2 linked regions of the Bombyx mori genome follow. The protein of the gene in region 1 purifies or fractionates together with the protein of each later gene. This does not show direct contact. Links are inferred from orthologs where the notes say so. Each region holds a gene or a part of one and is shown on either strand. Other genes may lie near its edges.

Region 1 (4,289 bases):
GTAAAAGCTGTTCATATCGAGCTCGTCACCGCATTGTCATCGGAGGCGTACATAGCTGCTCTCAAAAGATTCGTGTCTCGTCGAGGCAAGCCCCGCAGCATATGGTCCGACAATGGGACAAATTTTGTTGGTGCTTGCAACGAACTCAAAGGCGTCCTTTCAAACTCAGACATTGCGTCATTCATGTCTCAAGAAGGCATAGATTTTAGTTTTTCTCCACCTTATTCCCCTCATTTTAATGGTCTGGCTGAAGCAGCGGTTAAGGCCACTAAAGGCCATCTCAAAAAACTCCTCAGTCTTACTCACCTCACGTATGAAGAAATGTCTTCGTGCTTATGTCAAATTGAGGCCATTCTAAATTCCCGTCCACTTACTCCTATTTCCTCTGATCCGTTAGATTTAACTGCCCTTACTCCTGCTCACTTTCTGATTGGACGACCGCTCACGTCAGTTCCGCACCCGCAGATTACCGACGGCAACATCACGCGCTTGGAGCGCTACCAACGAGTGGAACTCATCAGGCAGCATTTTTGGAAGCGCTTTATTAATGAATACATTTCTCTGCTGCAGCAGAAATCTAAATGGTCCACCTCTACAGGGAGCTTGATACCAGGGACGCTAGTCCTTGTGAAGGACAGGACGCTACCGGCTCTGTTGTGGCCTTTGGGCCGCATTACCAAGACGTATCCGGGCAGCGACGGCATCACACGGGTCGCAGAGGTCAAGACGAGGACGGGGACCGTGGTGCGAGGCTTCAACTCCATCTGCCCCCTCCCTCTTCATTGAAGTACCCATATATACTTCAACCCGGGCAGTCTGTCGATGCACGGACATCGACGATCGCGCGGCGCGGGCGCCGGGAGGAGGACAGCGGCGCGGGGTAGCGGATTGACACCGGCTTCGTCACTCCGTGCAGCAACGCCGCCCGCGACACTTACTTGTTTTTATCTTGTTTTACTCTTTTTATAAACTTACCAAATAATACAGTCCGCTCTTTTATTTTATATATCACCGGTCTACCCCAGAGCAGTTCGAAACAGAAATACGTTCACCGTTTAACTTAAACACAGGTACTCTATGCGCAGTGTTATGTAGCAAGTTATCTTACAGACGGCATATTATTTCTAAGCGTGTTTGACAAAAACAGTACCATTCAAGTTTAATTAGTAAAATGAATGAAATGTAGCACAGTGTTACTTCAAGTTCCAACAAGAATGCATTTCTTAGTTATTCTCACCGATCGGTCGAGAGCTCGCCCTGCGCGACACTAGCGCCCTACAACTGCTTTCAATAATACCTAAAATTTTGTGGGAGCCAAGTAAATTATACATGTATGTTACGTTTGGGGGAGCAGGAGAGTGCGGGGCTGTACGCTCACCCAGGTAGTCCATGATCGCTTTGAGCGTGTTGTCCCGGGAGCTCCGGGTGAGCGCGTCGAAGCGCGGCAGGTCGTCGAGCCGCACGCGTCGCCGCAGCGCCTCCAGCTCGCCGAGCAGCGCGCGCAGCTGCGACGCCACCCGCCGCGCGTGCGTCTGCTCGCTTCGGACTCGCGCGTACTCGCCGCCCTCCTCATACTGTTCACAAACTAGACACAGTTCAGCTCTCCTTGTCAACAAACCGTTACCATTTGTCCATGATTGTGATTAAAAACACGTGACTAACTCTTCAATTAGTCATATGTAACAAACAAGTGTAAAATATTCAAAACTTGGAACAATAGATTTAAGACTAGATTAACAATAGATTGGGAATGCACTTAGATGTATATATGTATATATATATATATATATATAATCCATTTTTTCTCCTCCCTAATTGCTGGCAGCGTAAACTACATAAAAGAAAAGGTAGATTCTGCTGAGAGTACCTTAACGCCCTAATCAACATTGTCTACATCTCATTTACTTATAGTCCACATGACTTATTGAACTATAAGAAGAAAAAAATAAGGTTTAACTGTTTCTTAACCAACCAACCATATATTGTTGAAATCAAGATAAGGAAGAACAGCAAGAGCCAAAAGATTTTAGGTAAATTTGGAATAATTATTACTTTTAATTTTATAATTATTTCAGAATATAGAAATTACATAAATTGATGGTAGAAATCTTGTTTTTTTAAATTTAGTAAATCTAGCCTATGGTTGGAATTAAAAAATACTGCAAGCTTAAAACAAATCTTAATTACTTATGTTTCTAATTGTAAATTGAACTGAACATAAAAATAGAGACTGAATGCTTTCTATTTTATTATCCACAAGAATGCCTTGTGAATACTTATGACTGGGTTTGCCATATAAAGCTATTTACAAATTCTAGAGTTGTATCAGTTTTGAGCGTAACACAAAAAAGATTAATAGTTTTTATAAAAAAATGACGTTTGCTTTTTCTATACATTCTTCTATTCCACAGATGTTTAAACTATTTTTAGCTCACAGAGAGCTCAACATCACAACTACAAAATACTGCGCATAAAATGGAAACGATTATGAAACAACTTTCAACTTCGATAGGCTTTAAATTCATAAACATAAACTATACCCACAATTAATACAAATTTACGCACTTTGATAATATTAGCCTTGTGCTGCCGTAGTAAATCCAGATGATGTGGAATTGCAACTTCATTAAACTTCGTTAATGAAAATTCTACTCTTTTTAAAGGCAGCTTGTCTTCTTCTTCCATTCTTTATTACAATTTTCTCAGGATAAGAATTTATAGAGATCTTTAAAATATAGAAGATGAAATTTCAATTTGCTCAAACAAAAATAAACATTGTTTATCTATCTATCTCTTAGGTTTATGGCGTTTCCTTTTAGATTTTTGTTTTCATTTTCATCTCAACTTTAATCCCATTGTCAAAATAATGTCAAATGTCAAAATATTTCATCTGTACCCTTTTTTCATTTTTAACAGGAAAAGCGAAGGAATCATACCATAAAACCGGATCTTTTATATTTTCTGTTAATTGAAAAATAACGTAGTTTAGAAGTCGTCGTGGCCTAAAGGATAAGACGTTTGGTGCATTCGTGTTGAGCGATGTACGGGGTGTTCGAAACCCAGGCGGGTACCAATTTTTCTAATGAAATACGTACTCAACAAATGTTCACGATTGACTTCCATGGTGAAGGAATAACATCGTGTAATAAACCAAAATCAAACCCGCAAATTTTAATTTGCGTAATTACTGGTGGTAGGACCTCTAATAAGTTTACGCGGGTAGCTACCACCACCCTGCCTATTTCTGTCGCAGTAATGCGTTTCGGTTTGTAGGGTGGGGCAGCCGTTGTAACTATACTGAGACCTTAGAACTTATATCTCAAGGTGGGTGGCGCATTTACGTTGTGGATGTCTATGGGCTCCAGTAACCACTTAATACCAGGTGGGCTGTGAGCTCGTCCAACCATCTAAGCAATAAAAAATAAAATAAAAAACTCATTCTATAAAGAAATATTTTCATTTGAATTATTAAAGAGACTGTGATATTATGATGTTTTAATGAATTTGCGTAATCACTGGTGGTAGGACCTCTTGTGAGTCCGCACGGGTAGGTACCACCACCCTGCCTATTTCTGCTGTGAAGCAGTAGTGCGTTTCGATTTGAAGGGTGGGGCAGCCGTTGTAACTACACTGAGATCTTAGAACTCATACCTCGAGGTGGGTGGCGGCATTTACGTTGTAGATGTCTGAGCTCCGGTAACCACTTAACATTAGATGGACCGTGAGCTCGTCCATCCATCTAATCAATAAAAAAAAAGTGAAAATAATAGGGATTCAATAAGATGACGTTGATTTATTAGAGACTGTAATCAATTGGAATGAAATTAAATGAAATGAGACTCAATTCATTTAATTGCTGAGACTTTATCCCATCCCGTTTCAATGGGATGAAATAAAGTCTCAGTAAAATGATGGTTATTTGCAAAGACTAGTTTGCACGTAGACAAGAAACCACCACGTCCAGTGACTATTTCATTTTCCCACATTCATGCAGTTTCACCGATTCTAAACAATTAATAAGCCACCGCTATTACAAATTGAAGCCTAAAGAGACACTAAATTAAATTAACAAAATTAAAAAATTCACACTACTTCAGTCCAGGAGCGGACTCACGTTCCCGCTTATAAGTCTCAACACTTTTCAATTCTCAGATGATTGTTGATTCATTTGTCAAATTAAACAAGCAAACCACTGAAGTATGAAACCTAAAGCAAACATAATGTCTATACCCCGCTATGAAGGAATGAATGAATCACCCTTTGGGGATAACGATATTTTATTAAGAAAG
Region 2 (4,509 bases), on another chromosome or scaffold:
ATGTCTATAGGCTCTAGTAACCACTTAACACCAGGTGGGCTATGAGCTCGTCCACCCATCTAAGCAATAAAAAAATAAAAAACTTGATTTGGTAATAGATTTTGTTTATACGAGTCATCTATTATCAAAGGTGGCAATCTGTGCATTTGGACAAAAAAATGTTATTGATATGTCAATACAGATTGATTTGAATATAATCGTCTCCTTCAAAGAATACGGTTCAAAACCTGCTTAAATAAAGGTTAATACTTAACCTGTTATTTATCTAAGATGTCGTGCAGAAGAGTTTTGTGACTGCCAATGGAATACAAAGTCAATAATTCGTTTTTCTGATTTACCAATAATTGTCCAAAAGTCACATTGCCGGCTTTGATAATAGTCGACTCATACATACTATTTAATAGGTATTCTGTGAATTTTTTTCCATTTAAAATGTTGAAACTGATAGTCTTTTTTTCCGCCGCATTCATACATCCGGCAGAGACATTTATAACGAGCGAAACTAAATAAAATCAAAATTAAAGGCAACCCCGTATTTCTCCCGCGGAGCAGTAAGGATCCCCGTTTGAAGGGTGGTCCTTGTTATACTGTAGAACAGAGTTAGAAATCATGTCTCGAGACAATGGCATTTACGTTATTCATGCTTATGAGAGAAATAGCTAATGACTATATTTTGTAGGCTTAATGTCTTATGTAAACTTACACTGTACGATAAACTATCGATGCTATCAACTAAAAGCATTTTCTCGCCGAGAATTGTTTCTGAAAAGAAAAAAAAACTAATTTAAAATTAAATGTAGTTTAAGAACCCGTACGTTCAATTACAAACCGTACCAACAAATAATTTTATCTTTATTTTGTACCTTTTTTGAATACCGGTCAGGATTTCAGAGCGATTAGAGCAATTAAAATTATTGTTTAGCTAACGGTCCTTCATTCGTGTACAAACTTTCTGATTAGTGGTCGGTACGTCTTAAAATCGATGCAAATCACATTATAAAGAAGACATACAAACATACATACGTATAATTGGAATTTAATTGTTATTATAAAAAAAATATAGACACATTTTTTAGATATTGCTGCTTTCATCGACCTCGCCATGTTGCCATTTTGTTTTATTATTATTTCTCTCTTTCTTACAAATTTCTCTCACTCACACCTTAACACTCCGTTCCACGCTCTTTCCATACGTTCCGTTCTCAACCATCCTACATATTTACCAAACTATTTAATAAATAACTAAAAATTTATTGACACATTTTTTACACATCGCTCACTTCATCGTCCTCGCGGTCTTGCTTTTTTTATTATTATTTCTCTCTATTTCTCACAAATTTCTCTCACTCACACCTTAACACTCCGTTCCACGCTCTTTCCATAGGTTCCGTTCTTAACCATCCTACATATTTACAAAGCTGTTTAATAAAAAATGTTTAAAAAAACTTACCACTCCTTTCAACGCTGATCCTGTTCAATTCATCCAGTTCGCCATTTCTTATAACTATAGTACTGTAATCTTCATTGTATCGGTACATTTCCTCTGCCAGTATATGTTCGAAATTTTTTACGTATTCAGCAAATCGTCTCTGGATTTGATTTAAGAATAAAAATGCCCTTGATCTCTGACAGCTCTGTTAAGAAAATACATTTGATTTGAAGACTATAGAAAAAATATTTACATAATTCTGACTTAAGCTAACATAAGGGAACTTTATGCGAATAACGACGTGTGCTTCTCTCATATTTAACAGAAAATCTTTACACAATCTTGCACATACAGAAATATGTAAATAAAGTTTCTTCAATTTTCAACTGACGTATATGTTTAGTTTCAATATTCAACCTATTTAATAAGTGGCAATCGTTCGTCCAAATTTTCTCTGTGCTATGTGTTCAGAAGATATATGGGACAACAATAAGTGCACCAGATCGAATAACTAATATCTTTAAGAAATTTATTGACGAGAACGAAATAAAAAAAAAACAAGTTTTAAACACCGGCCACAATAAAAATGAGATATTTTCGTTTTATACTATTCGTTTTTTTTTCTACCTATTCTAGTAACCTCGAGGGGCTATTCTAGATTCAGTAAGTGAGCTCACGGGGCTCAACCGGAAGTGTTGCTAACACTGGCCCTAGCAAGAGCAGTGCTTCGCAGAATCTACCACCGGATCGGAAACGCGACCCACTGAGAAGATCCGGCGAGAAACTCAGTGGGCTGTGTCTGTGGGTTAATTTACTCGTCGAGCCCTTCGTCGCAAGCGACGGGTTCGGCGAGGACGGTGACCGGTGCTTGAGGTACCTAAAAGCACCGTTAATGGATCGGGAGGATCCGTAATGACGTGTTTTGAGCAATTCGAATGTATTGGACGACATTATCAATGAACTTTCAGAACAATATTTATATTCTATTTTTTCATGTATGTTTTTTAACTTGTAAGAAGTCCTTTTCAAACGAAATCGTAACTTACCTTTTCTGTAATACAAAGAAATATATTTTTCTTGTGAACAACATAGTGAATCAAATATTTTCCGTGAAGGTACGTCATCTTGTGATCATGTACCGGTATTTTTGAGACCATTCGTTCGGATATCTCCACGAAGTTACCATCGCAGGTTGCGAATTTCGAAACGACTCGTTTATCACACGCTATCACACTGAATAATATAGGCATTATAAATATGACTACAAATTATTATCACTGTTCACACCATTTGACGCTTTCACTATTATTATCAGTTTCAATAATTTTTTTGAAGAATATTGTTTAACTGCTGCATTACAAGAGTACAAACCGCAACTATACGATGTGGCGTCCTCTCGATCCGCCCACGGTTTAAAGATTTTGAATGTCCAAACGCAATGCGTTAAGGATGTCATTCGTTTTTTGACGGAAATAAAACAGATCTAGTCACATTAGCCAGTGTTCTCTGTATTTTGTTTAACCGATGCGATATCAAGACTCTGGTAACCTTTTGTTACCAAATGGACCGACGTGTGCGCAAAAATGTTCATTATAAAACAGATTTGTTTAATCTGTGCATGCATTATTCTTCAAATTTAATTCAACAAAATATTCATTGGTTTTGTTTAAAGAAAAAACCCAGTAATACAAGACTTGTATTTGTTTGTGTCTAAAAATATAAGAGGAATTATCTTAAAAACTGAAAATTTGGTCTTGTTGCTATGACAAGAGTCCGCGATATCTATATATTAATACGTGAAGCAAAAACTTTGTATCCCTTTTTACGAAAATTGCGCGGACGGAGGAGTATGAAATTTTCCACACTTATAGAGAATATAGAGAAGAAGTGCACAATGCTAATATTTTTTTAAAATAATGCATAAAAGATACATTAAATCAATAAAGAAAACATTACACACACTACATACCATGTATTTGACGCACACACGCATGCATACTATTTATTGTCCAACTTTTGTTCTTGACCTCTGTTGTCAGATTGAGAATAGATTAAATATTGTTAGTCTTTGTTAATATTTTTTATAGTGTAGTCTTGGCGAAATTTGTGACTATAGAAGTATAAAATACAATAATAATAGTGTACAAACTTACAATTCCAATTAATTATAGTCGAATTTCGACTACTGCGGGACCTCTAGTATTAATAAAATCACTTGCTTACAGTAAGTCGGTTAAGTGTAGTATATTCTATGCCAATAAGACAATAACTGTGGCCAACATTTAGTATGCTGCTGCCAGATGTTGATAGAATTAGGGGACGCGATACTAAATCTACTTATGAAGGAAAAATGTTTCCTTTATTAAAAATAATGGAATGAAATCTTCCTCGAAGCAACATATACTACAACAACGCGAACAATAAAACACACATTAATAATTTATTAAGCTAAGCTTATCTACATTGGCGGATTTTTTAATTTATAACATTCTTTCGTGACATTCGTATACCAAAAACAACTGAAAAAAAATCAAAATAATCATGTTATTATGAATCACCAGTATCACTTTTGTTTTTCATCTTCAAGAACAAACAAACACCTCCTTTTTACCATAAGGATATGGATTGTTACCGATATTTTTACATACCTACTTGATGCTTGTGGGTTACAGAAAAAAAAAAACGAGAAAATCGAACGTTTGACAACCCTGCATTGAAAAATTCAGTATCGCACAAATATCACACGATCGTTCTAAAATAAATTTCCGTGTCGGCCGAAGCTAAAATCGTTTCGTGCTCGCTAAAACTGTCACCGTACATAAATTGATCAGTTTTAAGAGACATGTGCAGACAAGCGTGCCACGCATGTGCTCAACTTGCTTCTTTGAGATAATTGAATATTATTTGCCTACGTACTCATACACTCCGAATTTTGAGCCAGGACGGAAATTTATCACCGTCCTGCCCAGTTTCACCGTGAAGTAAACCGTTCGTGTTTGAAGAATGAGACGGCCGTTTAACAAAACAACTCGTCCGGCAGTAAAGTGTAATAAAAACCATGAATTGCAACGAGTAATTTT

The links.
Region 2: the proteins of syntaxin-17 (region 1) and vesicle-associated membrane protein 7-like purify together in Drosophila melanogaster (affinity purification with western blotting; 4 studies listed by BioGRID, with this or other methods). This does not show direct contact. The link is inferred for Bombyx mori from reciprocal best matches to the Drosophila melanogaster genes Syx17 and Vamp7.

What each region holds. Positions count from the first base shown.
Region 1 is NC_085130.1:9,434,880-9,439,168, forward strand, and holds the start of syntaxin-17, read right to left. Parts: upstream 2,859-4,289; 5' UTR 2,686-2,858; coding exon 2,566-2,685; intron 1,575-2,565; coding exon 1,379-1,574; intron 1,298-1,378; coding exon 1,238-1,297; intron 987-1,237; exon of another isoform or gene 787-986; coding exon of another isoform or gene 1-786. Other genes in the region: uncharacterized protein LOC105842541, read left to right, coding at 1-786.
Region 2 is NC_085119.1:6,315,153-6,319,661, forward strand, and holds the start of vesicle-associated membrane protein 7-like, read right to left. Parts: upstream 2,870-4,509; 5' UTR 2,680-2,869; coding exon 2,476-2,679; intron 1,635-2,475; coding exon 1,451-1,634; intron 763-1,450; coding exon 704-762; intron 1-703.